4 linked regions of the Arabidopsis thaliana genome follow. The protein of the gene in region 1 interacts with the protein of each later gene in a pairwise test. Each region holds a gene or a part of one and is shown on either strand. Other genes may lie near its edges.

Evidence for each region.
Region 2: the proteins of KNAT7 (region 1) and ATH1 interact in a two-hybrid assay, tested with the Arabidopsis thaliana proteins (one large-scale study listed by BioGRID).
Region 3: the proteins of KNAT7 (region 1) and APA1 interact in a two-hybrid assay, tested with the Arabidopsis thaliana proteins (one large-scale study listed by BioGRID).
Region 4: the proteins of KNAT7 (region 1) and FMA interact in a two-hybrid assay, tested with the Arabidopsis thaliana proteins (one large-scale study listed by BioGRID).

Annotation. Positions count from the first base shown.
Region 1 is NC_003070.9:23,335,380-23,341,194, forward strand, and holds KNAT7 (homeobox knotted-like protein), read left to right. Parts: upstream 1-1,787; 5' UTR 1,788-2,088; coding exon 2,089-2,370; intron 2,371-3,268; coding exon 3,269-3,389; intron 3,390-3,943; coding exon 3,944-4,143; intron 4,144-4,237; coding exon 4,238-4,369; intron 4,370-4,828; coding exon 4,829-4,969; 3' UTR 4,970-5,313; downstream 5,314-5,815. UniProt on the Arabidopsis thaliana protein: May be involved in secondary cell wall biosynthesis.
Region 2 is NC_003075.7:15,914,128-15,919,931, reverse strand, and holds ATH1 (homeobox protein ATH1), read left to right. Parts: upstream 1-1,778; 5' UTR 1,779-2,392; exon of another isoform or gene 2,393-2,543; 5' UTR 2,544-2,726; intron 2,727-3,043; 5' UTR 3,044-3,058; coding exon 3,059-3,907; intron 3,908-3,999; coding exon 4,000-4,343; intron 4,344-4,435; coding exon 4,436-4,496; intron 4,497-4,899; coding exon 4,900-5,067; 3' UTR 5,068-5,262; downstream 5,263-5,804. Other genes in the region: AT4G32970 (BRISC/BRCA1-A complex protein), read left to right, coding at 5,632-5,804. UniProt on the Arabidopsis thaliana protein: Transcription factor which may be involved in the signal transduction pathway downstream of the COP1 gene. Controls floral competency as a specific activator of FLC expression. Is responsive of the nuclear import of SHOOT MERISTEMLESS (STM).
Region 3 is NC_003070.9:4,016,192-4,022,663, reverse strand, and holds APA1 (aspartic proteinase A1), read left to right. Parts: upstream 1-1,898; 5' UTR 1,899-2,667; coding exon 2,668-2,695; intron 2,696-2,784; coding exon 2,785-3,137; intron 3,138-3,221; coding exon 3,222-3,282; intron 3,283-3,467; coding exon 3,468-3,562; intron 3,563-3,646; coding exon 3,647-3,759; intron 3,760-3,842; coding exon 3,843-4,011; intron 4,012-4,097; coding exon 4,098-4,137; intron 4,138-4,269; coding exon 4,270-4,334; intron 4,335-4,425; coding exon 4,426-4,539; intron 4,540-4,639; coding exon 4,640-4,704; intron 4,705-4,821; coding exon 4,822-4,978; intron 4,979-5,075; coding exon 5,076-5,195; intron 5,196-5,285; coding exon 5,286-5,374; intron 5,375-5,460; coding exon 5,461-5,545; 3' UTR 5,546-5,952; downstream 5,953-6,472. Other genes in the region: AT1G11915 (wall-associated receptor kinase galacturonan-binding protein), read right to left, coding at 18-834; AT1G11905 (B-cell receptor-associated protein 31-like protein), read right to left, coding at 6,442-6,472. UniProt on the Arabidopsis thaliana protein: Involved in the breakdown of propeptides of storage proteins in protein-storage vacuoles. Possesses aspartic protease activity in vitro.
Region 4 is NC_003074.8:8,714,580-8,720,109, reverse strand, and holds FMA (basic helix-loop-helix (bHLH) DNA-binding superfamily protein), read left to right. Parts: upstream 1-1,898; 5' UTR 1,899-2,033; intron 2,034-2,277; 5' UTR 2,278-2,337; coding exon 2,338-2,355; intron 2,356-2,491; coding exon 2,492-3,157; intron 3,158-3,269; coding exon 3,270-3,704; intron 3,705-3,934; coding exon 3,935-4,020; coding exon of another isoform or gene 4,021-4,024; exon of another isoform or gene 4,025-4,545; coding exon 4,546-4,585; 3' UTR 4,586-4,992; downstream 4,993-5,530. UniProt on the Arabidopsis thaliana protein: Transcription activator. Together with MYB88 and MYB124, ensures that stomata contain just two guard cells (GCs) by enforcing a single symmetric precursor cell division before stomatal maturity. Together with SPCH and MUTE, regulates the stomata formation.

The sequences.
Region 1 (5,815 bases):
AAGTGCCCAATGAGAATTATTTTTAGGTCCACCAAACTCACAATATTATATGGCCCGTACATTAAATCACTAAAACTTAGTATCGTGTCACTAATAGTATCTCATTGTTCTCTGATTAATGGCCGCATTATTATAAGTTTTTTTTTGTGTCAAAAGCATTATTATAAGTTGAGAAGTCGTTTTCATAGGACCACAAATTGTTTCAGATGTGAGATGTCTTAAATCTTAGGCTTAAGAGAACGACAATTCTGTCCCTCTTTTCTTTGTTCGACCAACTCTGTCTTTGTCCCTCTTTATTTTGTTTCTTTCATTTTTCTATACGAACGAATATTTTTGATGTCATTGCGTAAAACAAAAGGGAATTTGTACATAACTACATAAAAAGGGAGAAATGGAAAGTAGTTTTTCCATATTGGTGAAGGCGTGCATTATTCTCTTTTTCATTTAATAATATGCAAAATCCTCTTTTAATTTGTATTTTTTATTTTTGTTTATAGAATATATTATGTGCTATTATTTTAGTTTTTTTTGTGTCATGTATTATTGGCATTATTAAAAATATTTGATCTAATCCTATTACGATATAAACTACATGCAACATATGCAATTACAACGACCAAGGATTCCATTGTTATGATGAAATATTATTTTAGTTTTTGTAATTAATTGCAGTTTTTTTTTTGCAAAAACTTAAGACTACTTGGATGGCTATTGGCTCCAATATGCCAAGCCGGAGGAAAACCAGAAGATTTAAGAATATATTTTTTTAAACGATGAAGTGGAAAAATAATTTTTTTAACGTCCAACATGTATGTTCAGAAGATTTGTAATTCTGAACGGAACTATTACATGACGTTACAAAAAACCATGCCACAAGAGTATCCGGACTTAACAACGTTTCACAACACATCAATTTTTTTTTTTTCAGTTTTATGGATATTTCTGAAATTCTAGCTAAAAACTATTAGTATATATTAAAGTTCATATATCAAACTATTGTTTGTGTGCTATATTAACTTCATATCAAACTAGGAAAAATATGAAAGCATTTTTCTATCTATCAAATAATACTGCAATTAAATTATCAGAGTGTTACTGTTTTAAGGTTATATGACTAAGAAATGGTGCATCAAAGCTGTATCACATTTTGTCCAAAAAAATTTAACTGTATCACGTAATTGAGTATTTAATATTTTAAAAGAATAACTAATTATATTTGTTCTTTACCAAAAGAAGAAAACAAATATACTATATTTCTATACTATTAAATAGTATTATCAATTAGGTGTTAATACTATTTGTTAAGTGGGCGTTAGAGGATTAGGTGTGTCTACCGGTCCTGTCGTTAAAGGTGGGAAGATATTTTATTTTCCTCATTCTTTTTCAAAATTTCAACTAATTTTTAAGTTCAAGTTGTTGATCACTTATTAGGTCTTAAATCATTGTCACGAGAAGGAAAATAAAAGTGTTTTTAATTTTTATTTTAAGTTTACATTTTATATACATACATATACACGTATTTATGATTTTTGTAAAGCACGTTGTTAACGTGCACTTTTTTCATAACTTTACGTCAAGGTATATATCAGCATATTGTGGAATCAAACATATATATAGTAGCAGTTTTCTAGACTAAAGTAATTCAGATTAATTGTAAAGATAACAATCACCGTATAAAACAATCAACGTCCGTGTGTTTGTATTCACATATCTGATGAAAATTAGTAATTCTAGTTTTCAGTCTTTCGATTAACAATACAAAAATAATACTTTCAATATAATTTGATCTATGTAAAAATAATATATGGTATGGCCGGACCAGACCCGTGTATAACAAACATTGTTTTAAATGTATTTTGTATACAAATAAGACAAAATAATCTATAAACAAATAATGTATATTTTTAGAAAAGAATGGAGTGAAAAACAATTAAAGGGGAAAGAAATCAGGACAGCTTTATATAGGTTGATTTCATCTGACAATTCTCTCTCTCTCTCTTTTTCTAATCATACGAACACAATCTGCTTCAAGAATTAGGGTTTTGATCAGACACAAAAAGTATCTCTCTCCGGTCTTGTGTCAAGGTTATGCAAGAAGCGGCACTAGGTATGATGGGAGCCACCGTAGGCGGAGACGGAGACACCGCGGTCGTGGCGGAGCAGAATAGACAGTTGAAAGGTGAGATAGCGACACATCCGATGTATGAGCAATTATTAGCCGCACACGTGGCGTGTTTAAGAGTAGCTACTCCAATAGATCAACTTCCGATCATTGAAGCTCAGCTTTCTCAATCTCATCATCTTCTCCGTTCTTACGCTTCCACGGCCGTTGGATACCATCATGATCGTCACGAGCTCGATAATTTCTTGGTACGTTTGAATATAAATTTATTAGTTATATTTTAAAAAATAATCTTGTTTGGTTAAATTACTTACAAGTTCTGTTTCTATCTTTTTTCATTTGAAAGTTTTTTTTTGATGGTTTCTAGTGGACTAACTTTGAATGAAGTTATGATTACTAACCAATCTCTGTTGGGAAATTATGTTTCAAACAAATTATGTTTTTTTCAATGATTTTCGTGTTTTACTTTTTACAAGATCGTTGGGAGTTTTATCGATCGAAGATGTAAACCTTTTGTCAATATATCAACAATTTCTATAAATTTTATAATTACTAATTCCTCTTGTGGGAAGTTATACTTCAAACAAATTATGTTTTTTTCCAATGATTTAAGTTATTGGTATTTTTTTACCTGATTTTTGTGAAGAAGTGGTTTTGTTCAACTTTCATGGAAATTTATGTATCTTCACACGAATGTTCAAATGTATAATACACACACATAGATGTAGATATGGTTTTTTGTATAGTTAGGTGCTAAATTTCACATAGAGTGAGTCAATGTTAAATGTCATTTTGTAATTAAATTGAAATTCTATTTAAACTTTGAATATTATCATGTTAGTTACGATTGATTTTCTACTCCGACCTAAAATTTGCAATTGCATTAAAGTTGGAATTGATATTGCAACTATAATTTTGGAATTAGCTTGTGAAATGTTCCAAAAAAATTCGGTTTTATTTATATTTATTTAAGTTAGGTAGAAAATAGGACTATATAATGATCTAACCGCTCAAAACACACCACACCAGAAGCACATATTTATATGTGTGTATGCATATATGTGGAAAATGTTTACACATTGAATAATTATATGAAATGTGAGAGGATATATAAAACATTTAACAATTATAATTAATTGGAAACAGGCACAATATGTAATGGTGTTGTGTAGCTTCAAAGAACAGCTGCAACAGCACGTGAGGGTTCATGCCGTCGAAGCTGTTATGGCTTGCCGTGAAATTGAGAACAACCTTCATTCTCTTACAGGTTCTTTTCTTTTCCACTTTTTTAATGGTATTTTTTATAACCCAATTAAAAAACATAACTTCATGATAATTACATGTTATTATATATACCACATAGCTATAGAATCAGAAAGTACTTAAGATATATATAATTAAAATTCCTGTTAAAAATTAGCGATAGTTAAAACAAATAATAGAGTTAGGTATATCTAAAGGTTCTTGCTGATCATACCAGATATGAACAACTAGTAAACATATTAAATGTAAGGTGTTGGAAGATGATCAGGAAGAGTATATTATATGCCCACACAATAAGAAATAGAGATTTTATTTGTGCTTATATAGTTATATTATATGATTAGTCTAAAGATGAAATTTCTTAATTATACGAAATTATTAAAAATATTTATTTTTGCACTGATGACCACGTAAAGCGTGGGATGTATTGATTAGGATTATTGTATGCGTAAGGGCATATCAGGCTTGAGCCTAAGTTTGGGCTTGGGCTTGACGTCTAAATCTTGTAGTTTGACTGTTGGAGTAACATTTCGTTTAAAACGTTCTGTATTCTTGTAGGAGCAACTTTAGGAGAAGGGTCGGGTGCGACTATGTCGGAGGATGAGGATGATCTTCCGATGGATTTCTCGTCAGATAATTCCGGCGTTGATTTTAGCGGCGGCCACGATATGACGGGATTTGGTCCGTTGCTACCGACTGAATCGGAAAGATCCCTTATGGAAAGAGTCAGACAAGAACTCAAACTAGAACTCAAACAGGTATAATTAACTAATATGTTATGATTCACAATAGTAATACAGTTATTTTACTATTTATTTTCTTGTTATGACGTTTGTTTATTTTTCGGATAAGGGTTTTAAATCGAGAATCGAAGATGTAAGAGAAGAGATAATGAGGAAGAGAAGGGCTGGGAAATTGCCAGGAGACACAACTACTGTCTTGAAAAATTGGTGGCAACAACATTGCAAATGGCCTTACCCTACGGTGAGTACTCTCTATATTTTACGAACAACAAATATAGTTTCCGTCTAATTGTTTGTTTGGGTTTACGTTTTCATGAAATAATATGATAATCATTATAACATGAAACAACAAATGAAGATAGATATGTAAATGCAAAGAAACAATCAAGACCCATTTTGGTTACACTCAAAGTCACAACATGCATTTTTTTTCTATTCTTCAAACATACTGAATTTGTTACTAATACTCAAAAACACTATACATCTCTCTCCCGTTCAATATTTGGCACAAGCCAAAAAGGTGGACTACAGTCTAAAGTTGCATGCTATAGTGGAAAAGAAATAGCCTTTGACGCTATCAGATCTGCACATGCATTGGCCTCTCTTCGTTGAAACTGAAACTGATTGTTTTTGTTTTCTTTCCTAAAATGTCATTAACAACAACAAATTTATAATGTAAAAAAATATGTGTCTTGAACAGGAAGATGACAAGGCAAAATTGGTGGAGGAGACAGGATTGCAGTTGAAGCAAATCAACAATTGGTTCATTAACCAACGCAAGAGGAATTGGCACAACAACTCTCACTCCCTCACTTCCTTGAAGTCCAAGCGCAAACACTAATCTCTTCTTACTATATTAGTTACTACCTCTACATATATTCATACTAATTACACTGCTAAGACATGCATGATACATACGTAATTCATGTTACTGATAATAACGAGGTGTGATCATTAATATCATGTACTTACTTAGCTTATTAGATCCACCGACTACTATATGATTTGTGCGTTGCGTGATTACTGGTTGTTACTAGATTGTAATTCATTTTGTTTGTATTGTGCATTCAAATTTATCTTTTTGGTAAGAACACTGATTTTGTAACGTGTTTTCCGTGGATGACTAGACCATCATTTGGAAATATAAAGTAATGATGCCGACAAAAAAGGCAGTGTTTTATAAAATATAAGCCATATCATAATATCTTTGGACCGATCAATGAAAGAAATCGTCCATAAAAATGGATTAGTTTAATTCCAGTTTAGATTATTGGTATTCTCAAAAACTAATTAACGTATAGTTTTCTAGTTCTTTATTTGATACCAAGATTTGTGTAACTTAATATTTTCAAACGAGTTTACAAACACAACTAGACCGAGAAATAGATATATGATGTATTCATTAAAAAAGAAAAAATAGCTCTTGAGATTGAGAACTTGGGATCTTACTATCTTAGAAAAGTCACCACATGCCGCCATCATTTGTCCACTACGATTCAGACAGAAGATCCGATCTGTTTATATATATATATATAAAAGTAAAGACATTACTTTATGCCTTATGGTAACCCCCGATTACTATAACATTAAACTACTAATTAATTTGACAAAAGAAGTTGGACTGACTGCTTAATAAATGAATGTTAGTGACATACGTATATATTTTCGATAACGTGTATGGTATTTA
Region 2 (5,804 bases), on another chromosome or scaffold:
TTTTTTTTGGGAAAAACCACACCTTTTAATGTATTGGAATAAGGTGAATGGTTTGGGCTCTCTCAAGGGATGTCTTTCTTGCATTGCATCATCTTCTATTCTTCTTCTATCTGCATTGCATCAATGAATCCACTAAAGTTTGGTTCCTGGATGGGTGGTGATAGAGATGGAAATCCAAATGTCACGGTAAAGGTGATAATGAGGGCTTGCTTTCTACATTACTTTTTTAGGGTTAGAATTTTGCTGGTCACTCAACTTGCTAACACACTTTGCTGGTCATTAAGAGTGAGTCCTTGATTTCTATGTAAAGATTAACTTGCTAACACACTTGGTTTTATCAATAAATTTCTTGTTCACAGAAGGAGTATTGCATATGTTTAGGTGGATGGCTATCGATCTTTACGTAAGAGCGATTGACATCTTAAAATTATACGCCGCTCTGAGAATGAATGTGTGTTTTCTGACCCTCAAGTGCTTCAGACACTGAGAATGAATGTGTGTTTTCTGATCCTCAAGTGCTCGACTTCTATATTAATTCGAAAGGAGTTAAGATCAAGTAGATTGTTGAACCTCAGTGAACTAGTTAATGCCCTCTGTGATCATTTATTCCCATTTTGCTTAGTCTGCCTATATATAATTCTAAGTCAATGAACTTGTATAATATTCTAAGCAAGACATCAGTAGCATATAGTATAAGTTGATACACAATAATTAAGCCAAATGACTTGGGAAATTATACGACTTCAGATAAAAAGCGCTCTAGTCTATGGAGTAGATTAAGCATCTGCTGGTGCTGGAGTCGATAGGCTCCATAGCCAACGTACATTTTGTTTCATTTTAGAAAAAGCATTACAAGTTCTTGTTTGGACTATCAGACAACAAAAAAAAGTAACTTTTATAATTCGCCTAGGACCCAAAAGTTATGAGCACGGGTCTAATAGTCTAACATTAATAAGTGTTATTGATTAAGATCGTAGGCATGATTAAAGATGCATTCCAGCTTCAGTTAATAGTCGGTACTATAGTTCCTAGTGTTATTGATACTATTCTGCTTTACTAAATCAAAATTTCAAACTATTAAATAATATAGACTTGTAAGCAAACAATAATAAGGATATGATATCAATAATTATCGATTTCTATTGAAAATAATTTTGTCCTATACGAACAACAATAACTGTTTCACCAAATCAATATCCAATTTTGCTTGGAGTGGCCATGCAAGATACTTGTCCTTGACCCTTTTCTTTGTCTCATACCAGCTTAGAAAGTCATTGTTTAGGCAAGTACCATTAACATTATTTAAAATACAGATCAAGTCACGCTAATACAGATCAAATCAAGTACCATTAGATTTTCTTCTTCTTTTGGTTGTAATAAAGAAGAGCATAATTTCAGATGTTGCAATCTATATAGTCTACGAGTAATAGAGTTCAATTCCATCATCATTAGCCATGATAATAAAGACGTAACACATAACGACACATTGAACTTAAAATAAATAAATAAATAAATAAAAATGATAAGAAAGGAACAATCAAAGAAAAGGCCAAGCAAATTGATTGATATTTTTGTAAAGCTTACGTAAAAAACTTATATGAAAAAAATACGTAAATGGATATAAGATTTGATGGCACAATACAAAGACACGAGTGGTGAGAAAAGAAAGAAGAAAAAGCAAGAACCCAAATGGATCACACATCTCATCAATTCTCCTTAAATGGCTAAAAAAGATCTCACCCTTCTTTACTTTTTTCCCTCTTTCTGATTTGTGATAATTGAAACCAGCACAAGAAGACAACACCATTTTCTTATAACTTTATAAAATTTTATAAATAGAGACACATACATATATATATATATAGAGACATGTAAATAGTAAAATGTAGGGTCTCTTCCCTAATTTAAAGCCTGCAACAGAAATGAGTGCACTTCTCTGTAGTAAACAGTAACACATCGGTCTTCTTCATGTCTTTGGATTTCTTTTTTGGATTTCGATTCTGTTTCAACCATATATTTTCTTTAGATAATTTTACTAGATTCATCTCTTTCTCTATGAACAACATTTTAAATAAATGACATTTTAAGAAAGTGATTATATATAAGATTTTCTTGATTCTGATTTATCTTTTTTTTTGGTCGGAAGATCTTAAAGATATGAAAATGGATTCGTGTCATAAACAGAGGCAGCTCCGTACGTGATTTGGCCCTCCTTCTTTTCAACTTCTTCTTTCTTGAATATTAAAGTTGTATTTTTCCCCTCGATAATACAACTTTTGGTTTGTTTATTTAGTTATAAAATGTTGCTATTTGTTGATCTAGTGCTCTGAATCTTTTAGTGAGGCAGATGATGAAGATTATGAATTTCTTCATGAAATTATTGTAAGAAAAAGTAAGTAATTTTTTTTGTAAGTGTTTGCGTTCATGCAAAAGAGATTAATCAGACCCACTTTTCTCTTTTTCAGTTTTGTTGCATTATTTTGTTCTCTTTAATTTATGAATACTAACTTTATTGTTGATTTCTGCTTTTTGGTTCTCTTTAGGAACATAGAGAAGCTGCGGAATGAAAGTACACTGTTCTTTCACGGAGAAAGAAGATAAATAAGCATTATCTTCTTCTTCAGTTTTTAACACACATTTTGGAAATTTTGATGTAAAAATTCTCTTTGGAACGTTGTGTTGTCTGAAATCTTCCCAAAGGTTCTATCAGAAGAAGAAGGATAAAGGCAAGTTTCAACATTTTTAATGTTCTATGGACATTTGTAGTAATCTAAAGCTTTCTTTTTTACTTATTAGTTCACTGTTTATCACAGATAGCTTTGAGATATTATTGGTCTGTGTATCATTGAGCCTAGTTACGGCTTCATTAACTCATGTTTCGGTTCTTTATATATTTTAATGAAATATTTAATGACATAGTGAGCGATGTTCTCTGTCTCTTGCAGCATTTTACATTTAGTACTATTCTCCAAAGATTTGGTTTCTTAGATTTTCTGAAATCTTTTGTCTAAGTCTTAAATACTTGTCTTCTTTGGTAATGCAGTTTCATAGAAACCCAATGGACAACAACAACAACAACAACACTTTTAGTTCTCTGGATAATGTCATGACTAACCAAAATCCTCTTCTCATGGATTTTATACCTTCAAGAGAAGATTCAACTTCATTCTCAACAATGCTTCCATGGAATACCATCAGATCAGATCCTCTACAAATGGGTGGCTTTGATATTTTCAATTCTATGCTGACTAACAAATACTTATCATCTTCTCCACGGTCTATCGATGTTCAAGATAACCGCAATGTTGAGTTCATGGCTCCTCCTCCTCATCCTCCTCCACTTCATCCTTTGGATCATTTAAGACACTATGATGATTCCTCAAACAACATGTGGGGTTTTGAAGCAAATAGTGAGTTTCAGGCATTTTCAGGTGTAGTTGGTCCAAGTGAACCAATGATGTCTACATTCGGTGAAGAAGATTTCCCGTTTCTAATTTCGAATAAAAGAAACAATGAGCTTTCATTGAGTCTTGCATCAGATGTTTCTGATGAATGCTCGGAGATAAGTCTTTGTGCAGCTACAAGATTAGCCTCAGAGCAAGCTTCTTGCAGCAGCAAAGACATTTCTAATAACGTTGTTACTCAAGGTTTCTCTCAACTTATATTTGGCTCAAAATACCTTCACTCTGTTCAAGAAATACTATCTCATTTCGCCGCATACTCGCTCGATTATTCATCTCGAGGAACCGAGTCAGGAGCTGCTAGTTCAGCCTTTACTTCACGTTTTGAGAATATAACTGAGTTTCTTGATGGTGATTCTAATAACTCGGAGGCGGGTTTCGGATCTACATTTCAAAGGAGAGCATTAGAAGCAAAGAAAACCCATCTCTTGGATCTTCTTCAAATGGTATGTAATATATTCATTCACTTTTTTTGCATAAGTTAAAAAAATGGTTTGATATATATGATGAAGTTTTATGAGTTGATATTTCTCTTCAGGTGGATGATCGATATAGTCATTGCGTAGATGAGATTCATACGGTTATATCAGCGTTCCATGCTGCAACCGAGTTAGATCCACAGTTACACACCCGGTTTGCCCTCCAAACCGTTTCCTTCTTATACAAGAACCTGAGAGAGAGAATCTGCAAGAAGATAATCTCTATGGGATCTGTATTGGAGAGAGGCAAAGACAAGACTCAAGAAACCTCTATGTTCCACCAGCATTGCCTTCTTCAGCAGCTGAAACGAAAGAACCATCAGATTTGGAGACCTCAACGAGGTTTGCCTGAGAAATCTGTTTCGGTTCTACGGAATTGGATGTTCCAAAACTTCCTTCACCCGTAACAATCCTTACTCTTCTTAACTATCTACTTTATGATGATGACATTGTTAACTCGATTTTATAAGCAAAGTTATGTTTTATTTAATGCAGTTACCCGAAAGATTCGGAGAAACATCTTCTAGCTATACGAAGTGGCTTGACAAGAAGTCAGGTAATGTCTCATGTTTGTTTTCTTATGCAATGACTCATTGATAACAAGCTTTGTTTTCTTATGCAATGACTCATTGATAAGATCTTTGTTTTCTTATGCAATGACTTATTGATAACATCTTTGCTCACAATGATAGCAAATATGGTATTCAAATGAGTAATATATATCTTGACATACTAGTCATGTCTGAAAAACCGGTATTGGTTATTTTAAGATGAGATTAGGGCTAGGAAAAAATCAAGCTTTTCTCTTGAACTACAAATGAGACTAGATTATGTATTCTTGAATTCACAATAATGTTACTCAAGTCCTAGGATTGTAGTCGCACATATGTTTTGTTACTGAAGTAAGTTAAAGCGGGCAAATGATATAGAGTGTGTCTCTTTGTTGTGTGTGATTAAAGGTATCAAACTGGTTTATAAATGCGCGGGTTAGGCTATGGAAGCCGATGATAGAAGAGATGTATGCGGAAATGAACAAGAGGAAGCTCAATAACAGTCACATTCAACCCAACGGACCAACTCTTCGAATGCCAAAATCTGTTATGATGAGCCAAGCAATGCATAAATAAGACAACAATTGTGTTTACCAACTTTGTGATAATTAGGCAATTGCTACTCTATGATTGCCCAAAACCTAAACCATGTACGACTATCATTACGTATGTTATAATTGTATATACAACTCCTTTATCTTTGACTATTTCATTTTATTATCCTGTATTCTTATATCATAATTATCATCATCCTCATTAAACTTCATGATCACCATTTTTACGTAAAAATAAAATTAAGTTCATGAAAATATATAAAAAGTATGTAACCACTGAAGATTTATTTTCATATTTATTCAAACAAACTACAAAATACAAACCTAAAGTTTTATTTCACCGTTTGCATTTAACTTTTTTTCTCTTACAAGTGAGTTTTATTATTCCAAAAACTGAAATGAATAATGACGAAAATCTCCTAGCAAGCGACGTCGTATTTTGGTTTGACTTGAGAATCTTCGGTCAACTAATAAAAACGCAGCGTTTTCATCTGGTACGGACACAATTAGAAATAGAAAGTAGGAAAAGGAAGACACTTTGCTAAAACTGAGGAAGAAAGTGTAAAGACGGAGCCTTTTACGGCGAATGGAGGAAGACAGAGCCACCATGACCGGAGCTGTAGCCACTCGAGACTCGGTGGAACCCAGCGAAGACATACTCATATGCGTCGATGTTGATGCGGAATCGACGGTGGAGATGAAGACCACTGGAACTAACGGTAAGCCTTTGAACAGGCTCGAGTGCCTCAAGCTAGCCAT
Region 3 (6,472 bases), about 19 Mb from region 1:
AACATAGACATTTTGACCTTTGCAATAAGTAGTGACATTGCCTTGTTTACAAAGGCACAAAAAATCTCGTGTCCTCGTATTAAACCCACAAACTCCACCACCTTTAGTCGTTTCTTGGCAAAGAAGGCACTTCATTGTCACTGGAAATTCGTAATCAACCCTTATCCCGTACTCTGGAAACTGATCATACGGTGCATTCTCCACACCTGTACTCCTCCAATACACACTTGTATACGTCGCACAGTCCTGCAGCATGAGCCTAAGAGATTGAGTCGCTTTAGGGTAATACGAACAACAAGAAACCCTAGATCCCAAAGCAGAGCCACATTCAGGCAAATGTCTGCATAGATAGCTAGAACTATCGCAGGACGAGTCACATCTATCTGGAAACCTTTCGCAGAAGAGCGGTTTTGGTTCGACGATAACTTTATCGGTGTTGCAGTTGAAGAACAAGTAGTCGTTTTGAGGAGAGACAGTGAAGTGTGTACTTGAATCGATGCTAAAAGATCTAGTGGGTCGAAAATTGTCTCGATCTTGACAGTTCCACATGAATGGATCGGAGACAAGAAGGTGAGGATCAGAGTAGCTTATAGATTTAACAGGGTATTTACCAGATGGTGTTCTAAGTTCGAGCTTGGTATCGTTGTCGGAGCAAATGAGCATGTGTCTGTAATAAGGGCTACCACAACCGTCGTCGATGGAAAAAGGGTAATTTATCGGAATGTTGCCGCAAGAAGATCTGCAGAGATTTGATTGGGATGATGTTGTTGATGATTGAAGAAGGATGGTCATGAGAAGGGAGAAGAAGATAATGTAAGAGTGAAGTGGAGACATTGTTCAAAAATTAGGAGTTTAGATTTGATTATTGGGTAGTTTTTAGTTATGAGATTATAATTTGGTGGTGTGAAGTGTTGAGTAAGCTTGGAATGTCTTGTTAAAGAGTTTAAGAATCAATCTTGTCATGTGCTTGTTAATATTGCTTATTTTAGGTTTCGGTTTGTTTTTAAAATTTCACCTTTCTTTTTAGTATAAAGTATTCCAAGAGGACTCGTGGTTTTGTTTCAGATTATTTGAAATATTTACATACAATATGTCAACAAACGTACTATTCTTTTTTCTGATATTTTACAACAAAATTTGTTCTTTAACATGTTATCTAAAAACCATTTAACAAAAAAAATAAAATGTATGAGAACCTTATAAAATACAAAATAGTAATTTCAGTATATAATAGTTTTGAATTTTCTTTTATTTAGAATTTCGTTTAAAGGGTTGTGATTTGTGAAGTAATCTTTGGAAGATAATCTCAATGTAAACAACACATTGGGCTTCTCATAGGCCCAATATAAACAACACATTGATCATTATCCATGTAAGGTGAACTCTTTAATCGAAACCGTTCAATTTCAGTCATCTCAATCCAACGGTTAGTATTCCAAGGAGCACGTAATCCACTCTAAATTCGTAAACACGTGATTTCTCACTAAATATAAAACTTGATACGTTACGCCTTCCTATCCATCCGTCAACGATTAAATCCAATCGTTCAATATAGAGATCCAACGGCTAATAACGAAACATTAGCCCACACGAAATCTCCTTTTTTTTTTTGACGGGATTATACAGTGGGCCTCCACCTGTAATTGTCCATTTAGGAGACAGCGCGGTTAATTTAGCATTATCCCTCCTCACAGTCATCTCTTTCTTCGCAAATAAATGTAACCATCTCTCTTCTCGTTTTCTTCAACAAAAATCCTCATTTCTCTGAGAATCTGGTGCTTTAGCTTTGGTGAGCTCTCTTTCTTATGAAACTTATCGATTCTCTTCTCGTTGATTGTCTTATACTTTTAGTTCTCTGCTTAATTTATTGTCCTTAATACTCGTGGATTTGTTCATAAATCGTTTTCTGAGCAGTTAGGTAAGAGTTTTGTTACCGAATTTCATGTTCTTCGATTTTGAATCTGGATGATTGTATGATGTGATTAGTAGACTCGCTTAGATTTTGTGATCTGTGTATGGTTTGTGGCTAATTTTGGTTTCATCGGTGGTATGAATTTATTTGGGGTTTTAGGTTTGTTTGATTACGTAATCGGACTGTTTACTTGAAGATTTATCGATTATAGTTGTGATCGTTTTTAGTTGATTGAGAAGAAGAAAATAAATTTCATGCTCTTGTTATTGTCGCGATTGTGGCGATTTTCAGTGTCTTATGAATCAATTATGTTGCATGTGAGTCTTGGTGCAATTGAGATTGTTTCCTTTTTTTACTAGATTGCTTGTCTTATTGAACAAAACTTTCCATTTATGTTGAAAAGGTTTATAGGAACGGATGTTTAGGGTTTTGTTGTAATCTGGGTATTTGCTTTCTGATTTCGGCAAGCAAATGTCGATTTCAAGGTTTATATCACTTTCTCTAGCAAAAGAAGTCTTTAGTCATTTGCAAAGTCAAGAGAGTTTTTACTTTATTTATTGCTTCCACGCTATTGCTTCGTGGCTGATTGAGAGAGACCAATTAAACTAATAATTTGTAGTTTGTACAATATATTGCGTGTAACATTGTCCTTCGTTATCTGTTTGAGGAGGAGGACCGAGTTAGCCTATTTTTAGTCACTTTACAAATTTTCTTTTATGTTGCATCATTCAATATGAACTCTCTGATATAAATATATGTATACATACTGGTTGACTTTTATGGGTATGGTTCTCTGCTTTTTTTCTCTGTGATGGTCTCTTGATTCTAACTTTCTTTGTTTTATGTTTTTGGTTTTTGTTGTCAATGAATAGGTAAAATGAAGATATACTCTAGAACGGTTGCTGTTTCACTCATTGTGTCATTCCTCCTGTGTTTCTCTGCCTTTGCTGAGCGCAATGACGGGACCTTCAGAGTTGGACTGAAAAAACTCAAGTTGGATTCGAAAAATCGGCTTGCAGCACGCGTCGAATCCAAGCAAGAAAAGCCCCTGAGAGCTTACAGACTTGGAGATTCTGGAGATGCTGATGTTGTTGTGCTTAAGAATTATCTAGATGCTCAGTACTATGGTGAGATCGCCATTGGTACTCCACCTCAGAAGTTCACTGTGGTTTTTGACACTGGGAGCTCTAACCTCTGGGTGCCATCATCAAAATGCTATTTCTCAGTAAGCAACATTTGGACTATTGTTGTTAGCTGTGGTTGAGATACTTTTGAGTAGAAAACTAATTGTGTTCTATCTCTTTTGCAGCTTGCATGTCTCTTGCATCCCAAATACAAGTCGTCTCGTTCAAGCACATATGAGAAGAATGGTTTGTTCTCTCTCTTAACTTGAAATTTTTTGCAGTTGGATTTCCCAGTTGGTAGATACTTTACAGTTCACTCAATGTAGCCTCTAGAATTCATGTTAATGTGCAGAAAACCATTGTTAAAAGATGCAACATCACTACTGATAGCAGCTGCTAGGTTATAACTAACTTGCTCATCTTTGATGCAGGAAAAGCTGCCGCAATTCATTACGGCACTGGAGCAATTGCTGGTTTTTTTAGTAATGATGCTGTCACAGTTGGCGATTTAGTTGTCAAGGATCAGGTAAACTATATGTCCGACCCTAATCAGTACTCTTACAACATACACATCAATGACCTCCTTCTTAACATTTGTCTATCTCATCAGGAGTTTATCGAGGCAACCAAGGAGCCTGGTATAACATTTGTTGTAGCTAAATTTGATGGTATCCTTGGTCTTGGATTCCAAGAGATCTCTGTTGGAAAAGCTGCTCCTGTTTGGTATGCCTGCACATTCTTCTCTTGTTTGGACTGAGTTACTACATTCCTGTAGTGTTAATGCTAATATGTCTTGTTTTTTACAGGTACAACATGCTCAAGCAAGGCCTTATCAAGGAGCCGGTTTTTTCATTTTGGCTTAACCGTAATGCAGATGAAGAAGAAGGTGGTGAACTTGTATTTGGAGGTGTTGATCCAAATCATTTCAAGGGCAAACATACATATGTTCCTGTGACACAAAAGGGCTACTGGCAGGTTTGTGATACATCACTTCCTTGTCTGGTTTTCTCATAACGTTTTCCAGTGACGATCTAACTCAAGCTATATATATTTTGTTATAGTTTGACATGGGTGATGTTCTTATTGGCGGTGCACCCACTGGTATGTGTAACACTGATTGGCGTTGTTCTTTATAACACATATATATAGCTTTTCCTGACAAATTCAAAAAGGTTTTGCTATTTATGTTTGCTGGTGACAACTGGTTCTAAAGTTTGAGTTACTGTTATACAGGGTTCTGTGAAAGTGGCTGTTCTGCGATAGCAGATTCTGGTACATCTTTGCTTGCCGGTCCAACGGTAAGCAAGAATTAAAATTGCTTATAGCTTTATAGAATTATGGTTTTTTAACTAGTATATGTAGTAATATTTCAATTTTTTCCCTGTGTAGACTATAATCACCATGATAAACCATGCTATTGGAGCAGCTGGAGTTGTTAGCCAGCAGTGCAAGACTGTTGTGGATCAATACGGGCAGACCATTTTGGATTTACTTTTGTCTGAGGTTAGTGTGCTTAATATTGGACTAGCTAATAAAATCTGTGACAAGTCATATGCTGTGCAAATTATTTTGGCTTACCATTCATCCCCCTTGCGCCTTGCAGACCCAACCGAAGAAAATCTGCTCGCAGATTGGTCTGTGTACTTTTGATGGTACCCGTGGTGTCAGGTAAAGTTATAATCTGTAGTCATTGCCATTAAGCTAGGATCTTCATTTTGGAATGCTTGTTTGTTTTTCCGTGTGATCTGCTCATATTTAGTATGATTTTGTTTATAAATTATCTAGTATGGGCATTGAGTCGGTGGTGGACAAGGAAAACGCCAAATTGTCTAATGGTGTTGGAGATGCTGCGTGTTCTGCATGTGAGATGGCTGTTGTGTGGATCCAGAGCCAGTTGAGGCAAAACATGACTCAAGAGCGCATATTGAACTACGTCAACGAGGTAACCAATAAGTTGTCATTTCAAGACTTTTGTGAAACAGTAGTTATTGTTGTCCTGATTACTGATTATAAATCGCTACTGTGGGTTTTCTTAACAGCTATGTGAACGCCTCCCCAGCCCAATGGGAGAGTCTGCAGTTGACTGTGCACAACTGTCAACAATGCCCACTGTTTCACTTACCATTGGAGGCAAAGTATTTGATCTTGCTCCAGAAGAGGTATGATAGTGAACTATTTAAAGACAACATTCATATTATGTAGTGAATATGACCATCTACTAATCTGTTGTACTGGTATGATGTGAGCAGTATGTTCTGAAAGTTGGTGAGGGACCTGTGGCACAGTGCATCAGTGGTTTTATTGCTCTTGACGTTGCTCCACCTCGTGGACCTCTCTGGTAAACCATTGAATCTATTACTCTGTAGCACAATTTCTTCTTGCTTTCTTTTTCTAACCCTAAGAACGGTGGTAAAAATGTAACAGGATCTTGGGAGATGTGTTCATGGGCAAATACCACACCGTATTTGACTTTGGTAACGAACAGGTCGGGTTTGCAGAGGCAGCCTAAACACGATCGGGTTGGTGTCGCGTATGGTTTTAGTATGAACAATCTGCGTCTCAAGTGTTGTTTGTATGTTTTCTGGAGTTGAGGACTTTGAGTCGTAGTAGAAATGGTGGCGCAGTTCCTTTTAAGTTGTTTCCTAACGAAAAAAGGCCTTTGTAGTTTTGAAGGCATTGGCTTTGTAAATACCTTCTAAGTAAGTTCGATGGTGAAAAAACTGAAAACTTTAATAAAGCCTGCCTCTTTTGTTTATGCTTAGTAAGTTGTATCAAATGGTTCGGTAAAAACGGTGTAGCATAAAAAATTTGAAAATGGTCAAGCTCGCTTTATCTTCATTTTCTAACCACATAAATTCCTACGTCAAAAAGTCACGATGATAATAGTTATTTGTCATATATTGAAGAACGTTCCTGCTTGAAACATGCATTTTAAGTTGATAGACTGTTTGAGACCCAATTTTCTAAAACCTTAATAATTCGTCAAGAGCGAGGTAAATTCCCCAACACGAAGCTTGCAGCATCCTTCCTGAATTTCGGAACAAGTATCTATTTTGAACAAGTCTGTGAACTTATGAGAAATTATAATGACAACCCACTTGCAGCGACTGTATACGTATATGGAAGGAAATAAGAACCAATTCGAGAAGTTTTTGTTGCGAAATGAACAAGTTACAACGAGTTACAGTTTCCTATAGCAGAAGAATTGATTAATTTCTACCTTAGCTAAACACTTAAACAAGAAGCAAACCTATACTTGTTTTGTATTCTCTGATCTTTCCCAATCATCTTCCATGTTAACAAGATGCGATAACACCAAACCACAAGCTCCTGATATCAAACTCGAAACATATATATTCAGACGGCAGAATCGCAAAGAAGTTTCAAGTGTTGGAATAAGGTCTCTCAAGTATTCTTTTTGCTGCTTGAACGCGAA
Region 4 (5,530 bases), on another chromosome or scaffold:
AAAAAAAGTCCAAAACAAAAGTATGTATATGATATAGATATAATAAATATGTGTGTTTACTTGGTTTGAACTGCACTTGTATATTGACAATAAATTTATGGTATAAGAATGCAAATTTTTATGTTTTTTACTTTTTTTTATGATAAAAAAGAATGTAAATTATTCTTTTGGAATTAAAAAAGAATTGAGTATATCAATCAGTCTCTTCGCTCGCTATCATTGAAGTTTGATCTTAAAATCTATATATCTTACAGTATTTCGATGCTTGTGGCCTGTGGGTGTTATGTATCGTAATAGTTGTTTTGTTGGCTCAATTGGGAATGGTTGCAGCAAGTATTTTTTTTGGTTGATGCTTCGATGCAAGCTCTTTCATGTTTCTTTTTTTCTTTTCAACATAGTATTTGTGTAATATGCACCTACTAAAATACTCCTATGGATCCGCGACTCTTATTCCCGAAAAAGTTCACTGGATTGATCAACGTGAATTTTTACTCCACTTTTTGTTAAAAGTTAAAACGTAACCATCCACACCAGTGTCTTTTTCTTTAAATGTATATGTCTCCACGTACACACACAAATAGTATAGGTCATGTTCGTGAAACTAATTTCATATATTTGACCAGAATATTTTTATTAGAAATCATATTTTATTGACAACACATAACTAATATAAGTGCTTGAATTTGAAATACTATAGAAATAAACTAAAAGATGAGAAGCGTATAGAGATTTGATTAAGTTCACGAAAAGCGGTGGAAAAAGAGCGGCCTTGGCTTGTGAACTCTAAAAACTCAAATCTTATCATTTATGGTTTGACAAACAAAAAAAAAAGATAGATAGATAGAGAGGTGATCAGCTGATACACGTGTGTTTTCACGTTACTTCTTTTTTCGTATTTTGTGGCTCCTCACCCTTACGTCTAACGCAAAAAGAAATAGAGTATTTATTACAAAAACAAGATATGATTTGGAATATTCAATAATCTTTCTTTTGAGTCAATATTGAACTTAATTTTTGTTCAAAATAAGCTAGGGAGTTGCTCTAGATCCCCCATTTCAAATTTGACCGTAAAATTTGGATTGTTATGTGTTTCTATGTAGAAGATAGAGAAGAACTAGATAACTATATATGTAATGATATTTATATATCAAATGGGATGAAAATTAATATTGACACATTATGTGCATAATACAAAGGGATTGATTGAATGAGCATCTTTTGATTAGCCAATCATGATTTTCTGCAAAAGCATTTGGGGAGACATTGAGAACTTCCGACTGCACGGCTTTATCCTGCTACAATTGGAAGCTTTTTTTACTAAGCATTAAGTATCTCTAACAATTATAAGAGGGCAATAATAACATCCCTTTTTCTTTCTTACAAAGCAATAAAAAAGGACAATAGTAACGAAAATTCATTTTTCCCACGATTGATATCTTTTGGTTGTAGTTTTTAGATTTTCTAAAACATTTTATGTGATGGTTGATATTTCTCTACTTTTAGAAACTAAAAGAGAATGCATAGAAAATTGCGAAAAACAATGATGTCTCGATAATTAATGGGAATATGATAGTAGAATAAAACAGCCACTGCAATCAAACTACTTACTACTAATCCTCAATATTTTAGATTAACTTATGTAGATTTTCATTTATCTTTATTCTTTAGAAAATTGTTTTTTTTTTTTTTGAAACATGTTTACGTATCTTTTTTTAAGTCGTTTAATTTGTTTTTATTGGGTCACGAATGTGTACCATTCACACCCTAATTAGTAATTAGAGAAACAAATGATTACGAATATACATACTTAAGAAATTTAATGCCCCCTTGCTATACCTTGTGTACACATGTATAATGTATCTCTCTCTATAAATATGGGAGCTTGGTGATGCTTACTCATTTATGACTTCTCAATACAAAAAGCTCCCCTCACTTTTTTAAGTTTTGTCTTCTCTAATCCGTCTTCTTCTACTATCTTGCATGTCTTGCGTCTTTTATATACATCTCTCGTAAACCCTAGCAAATCATACAAGGTCAGTCCCTTTTATTTTGTTAACTCCTTACTAAACAAAGCTCTAATATATTTGGTGTTAATCATTTTTTTTAATTGTCAAAATTCAATTTGAAAACTTGTTTTGTACATATAAAATACATGTATATGTATATGGTGAAACATGTAATCTGCCTAGGTTTGGTTTTAACTTGTTCTACGTGTGTTTTTGTTTCATGTATATGTTTTTAAAACTGACTGTGAAGCTCATGGATTGTTGTCATCAGGTCAAGAAGCTTGACCTTCATTAGACTTAAGCAGTTTATAATCAACTACCACGAATAGCAATGGATAAAGATTACTCGGTACGTACGTTTTTTTTTCCAGTATTTCAAGATCCTTAATCTCTTTTCTTATACAAATTGATAGATATCTATGTATAAGATTCAAATCTTCCTGCTTATGATATTAACTTCATTCTCCAATTCTGGTTTTTATTAGGCACCAAACTTCTTAGGTGAATCCTCAGGCGGTAACGATGATAACAGCTCTGGTATGATAGACTATATGTTCAATAGAAACCTTCAACAACAACAAAAGCAATCGATGCCACAACAGCAGCAACATCAACTCTCTCCTTCCGGATTTGGAGCAACACCTTTTGATAAAATGAACTTCTCTGATGTGATGCAGTTTGCGGACTTCGGTTCGAAACTTGCGTTGAACCAGACCAGAAACCAAGACGATCAAGAAACCGGGATTGACCCCGTTTATTTCTTGAAGTTCCCTGTCTTGAACGACAAAATAGAGGACCATAACCAAACCCAACATCTCATGCCTTCTCATCAGACGTCTCAAGAAGGAGGTGAGTGTGGAGGAAACATAGGCAATGTGTTTCTTGAAGAAAAAGAAGATCAAGACGATGACAACGACAACAACTCCGTGCAACTACGTTTTATTGGAGGAGAAGAAGAAGATAGGGAGAACAAGAATGTTACGAAAAAGGAGGTGAAGAGCAAGAGGAAGAGAGCTAGAACGAGCAAGACCAGCGAAGAAGTGGAAAGCCAACGGATGACTCATATCGCGGTCGAAAGAAACCGTAGGAAGCAAATGAATGAGCATCTTCGTGTCCTTAGATCTCTCATGCCTGGCTCCTACGTTCAAAGGGTATGATATTCATAAATTATATCTTAAAGAAAGAATTTTCGTGAATGTTTTTTTATATGTATATGTACAACTAATTATACTGTCTACACCAAATATTAATTGTATAAAATAGGGAGACCAAGCGTCAATCATAGGAGGAGCAATAGAGTTTGTGAGAGAGCTCGAGCAACTCCTACAATGTCTTGAATCACAGAAGCGTCGAAGAATCTTAGGAGAAACCGGTAGGGACATGACAACGACAACGACTTCTTCTTCTTCTCCCATAACTACGGTAGCGAACCAAGCACAACCGCTCATTATTACGGGAAATGTAACCGAGCTAGAGGGCGGAGGAGGGCTTCGGGAGGAGACTGCGGAGAACAAGTCGTGCTTGGCTGACGTGGAGGTGAAGCTGCTAGGGTTTGACGCCATGATCAAGATACTTTCAAGAAGAAGGCCGGGACAGCTGATTAAGACTATAGCTGCTTTGGAGGATCTTCATCTCTCTATTCTTCACACTAACATCACTACCATGGAACAAACCGTCCTCTACTCCTTTAATGTCAAGGCAAGTTTATATGTTAAAAAGTAATTCATCATTCATATTCAGCTTTCATATGCAAAATCTAGACTCATCAAATAATACATGTAATTATCTAATCTGGATTAGCTGTCATAAAACACATTTATAATTTTATTTAGGGTTTTCAATATAATCATAGATTATGGATTTGTATTGTTAAAGTATATGTAATAACTATCAATGGCTAACATGAGGTAGATGTAAAATATGTGCAGATAACAAGTGAAACGAGGTTTACGGCAGAAGACATAGCAAGTTCCATCCAACAGATATTTAGTTTCATTCATGCAAATACCAACATGTAAGGATATATATTTTTCTGCTATTTAAATATTCTTTCGATTAAAGATACTTTTGATAAGTTTCTGTTGGTCCCTTAAAACAAAAGTTTATGTTGGTTCATTGTTATCCATTTCACATGCCTTTTGTGTTTTGTTTGTTTTTACCTTTTAGATGTCATGATTATATCTTTTTGTGTGCAATGTGGTCTATCTAATCATCAAGACATCATTACTATGTGTGTGTGTGACTCTGTGAGTGTGTGAGTATATGAGTCTGGTAAAAAGTCTTAGAGTAAAAGATATTGGTGGTTCGATGTTATACATTTTACTATTTTAGATGTCTAGCTTTTGTCTTTTGTTTGTTCTTTTACCTTTTAGATGTTATGATTATTTGCTTTTAATGTTAGATATATATGGTGTATCTAATCTATCATGGTTATTTTCTTTGTGTGTTACATATGGTGTGTATATATATATATATATATATTGTAACATATTTATCACAATATTTGAAGTGTTAAAGCTTGGAAACAATTTTATTTCAGATCTGGAAGCTCTAACCTGGGAAATATTGTGTTTACTTGAAAATCATCACACGGCGACAACTTTGTACACTGGTGAAGATTACAGTACGTAATAATCTCTACATATTGGGTTTTATTCTCCAAGCATTTGGAAGAGTGTTTAAGTTAAAGGGAGTGCTTACTTTATTTTTTTGGGGCTTTTTTCATGCAATTTAAATTTTAGTGATGATTGTGTCGCTTGTAATGTTAGAACTCGTTGTTGTGATTTCTGCTGCTTTGATTTGTAGGTTTTGAACAAGCGGTTTAGAATGCTAAACCACTTATTTACTTGAAATAACTTTTTTCACAAAATAAAAAAGAAAAGAAAAAAACAATGCATGAAAACTTTTCTTGAGGGGAGGGAGAGGAACTATCATTTTCTTGAGATTTGTCTATGAGAAATGGGCCAATATATATACAACAAGAAAACATGAAGAAAAAAAAGGTTAGAAATAGCCAGTTTTAATCTTCAAAAAATTGACCATTCGGTTAAACAAAGTGACGCTTTTACACTTTTTCAAAAGTGATTTGACTAAAGAAACTAAGTGTCAGAATTCAGAAAAACAAATTCATTTAGGAGACTCAAAATGATTGTCTTTAATCTTTCTCTCGTACGTCAACAAAGACGAAACTCTTGTCTTCATCTTCTTTATATATTCACCATTAGCTCTAATCCAAGTCAGATCCGACACATACACAATAAATTCCAAAAGCACTGCTTGGTTTTCTTCTCACACCAAGTAGGTTCGTACGGGGGTAAGATCTTGACAGAGTCCAAGGCCAGAGAATTCCAATTCCAAATCCGTCCAAGACTTGAAGATCCTTTGTTATATAGCTTATATTAATTCATCGAAGGTAAGCAAAAAAGATTCGTGTTTGTCAATCGTATTATTGTGTTAAATGGTAAGATAATCATTGTAATTACTTTTGAAAATGGAGAGAGTTGATCTAGATTTCTGATTACTTT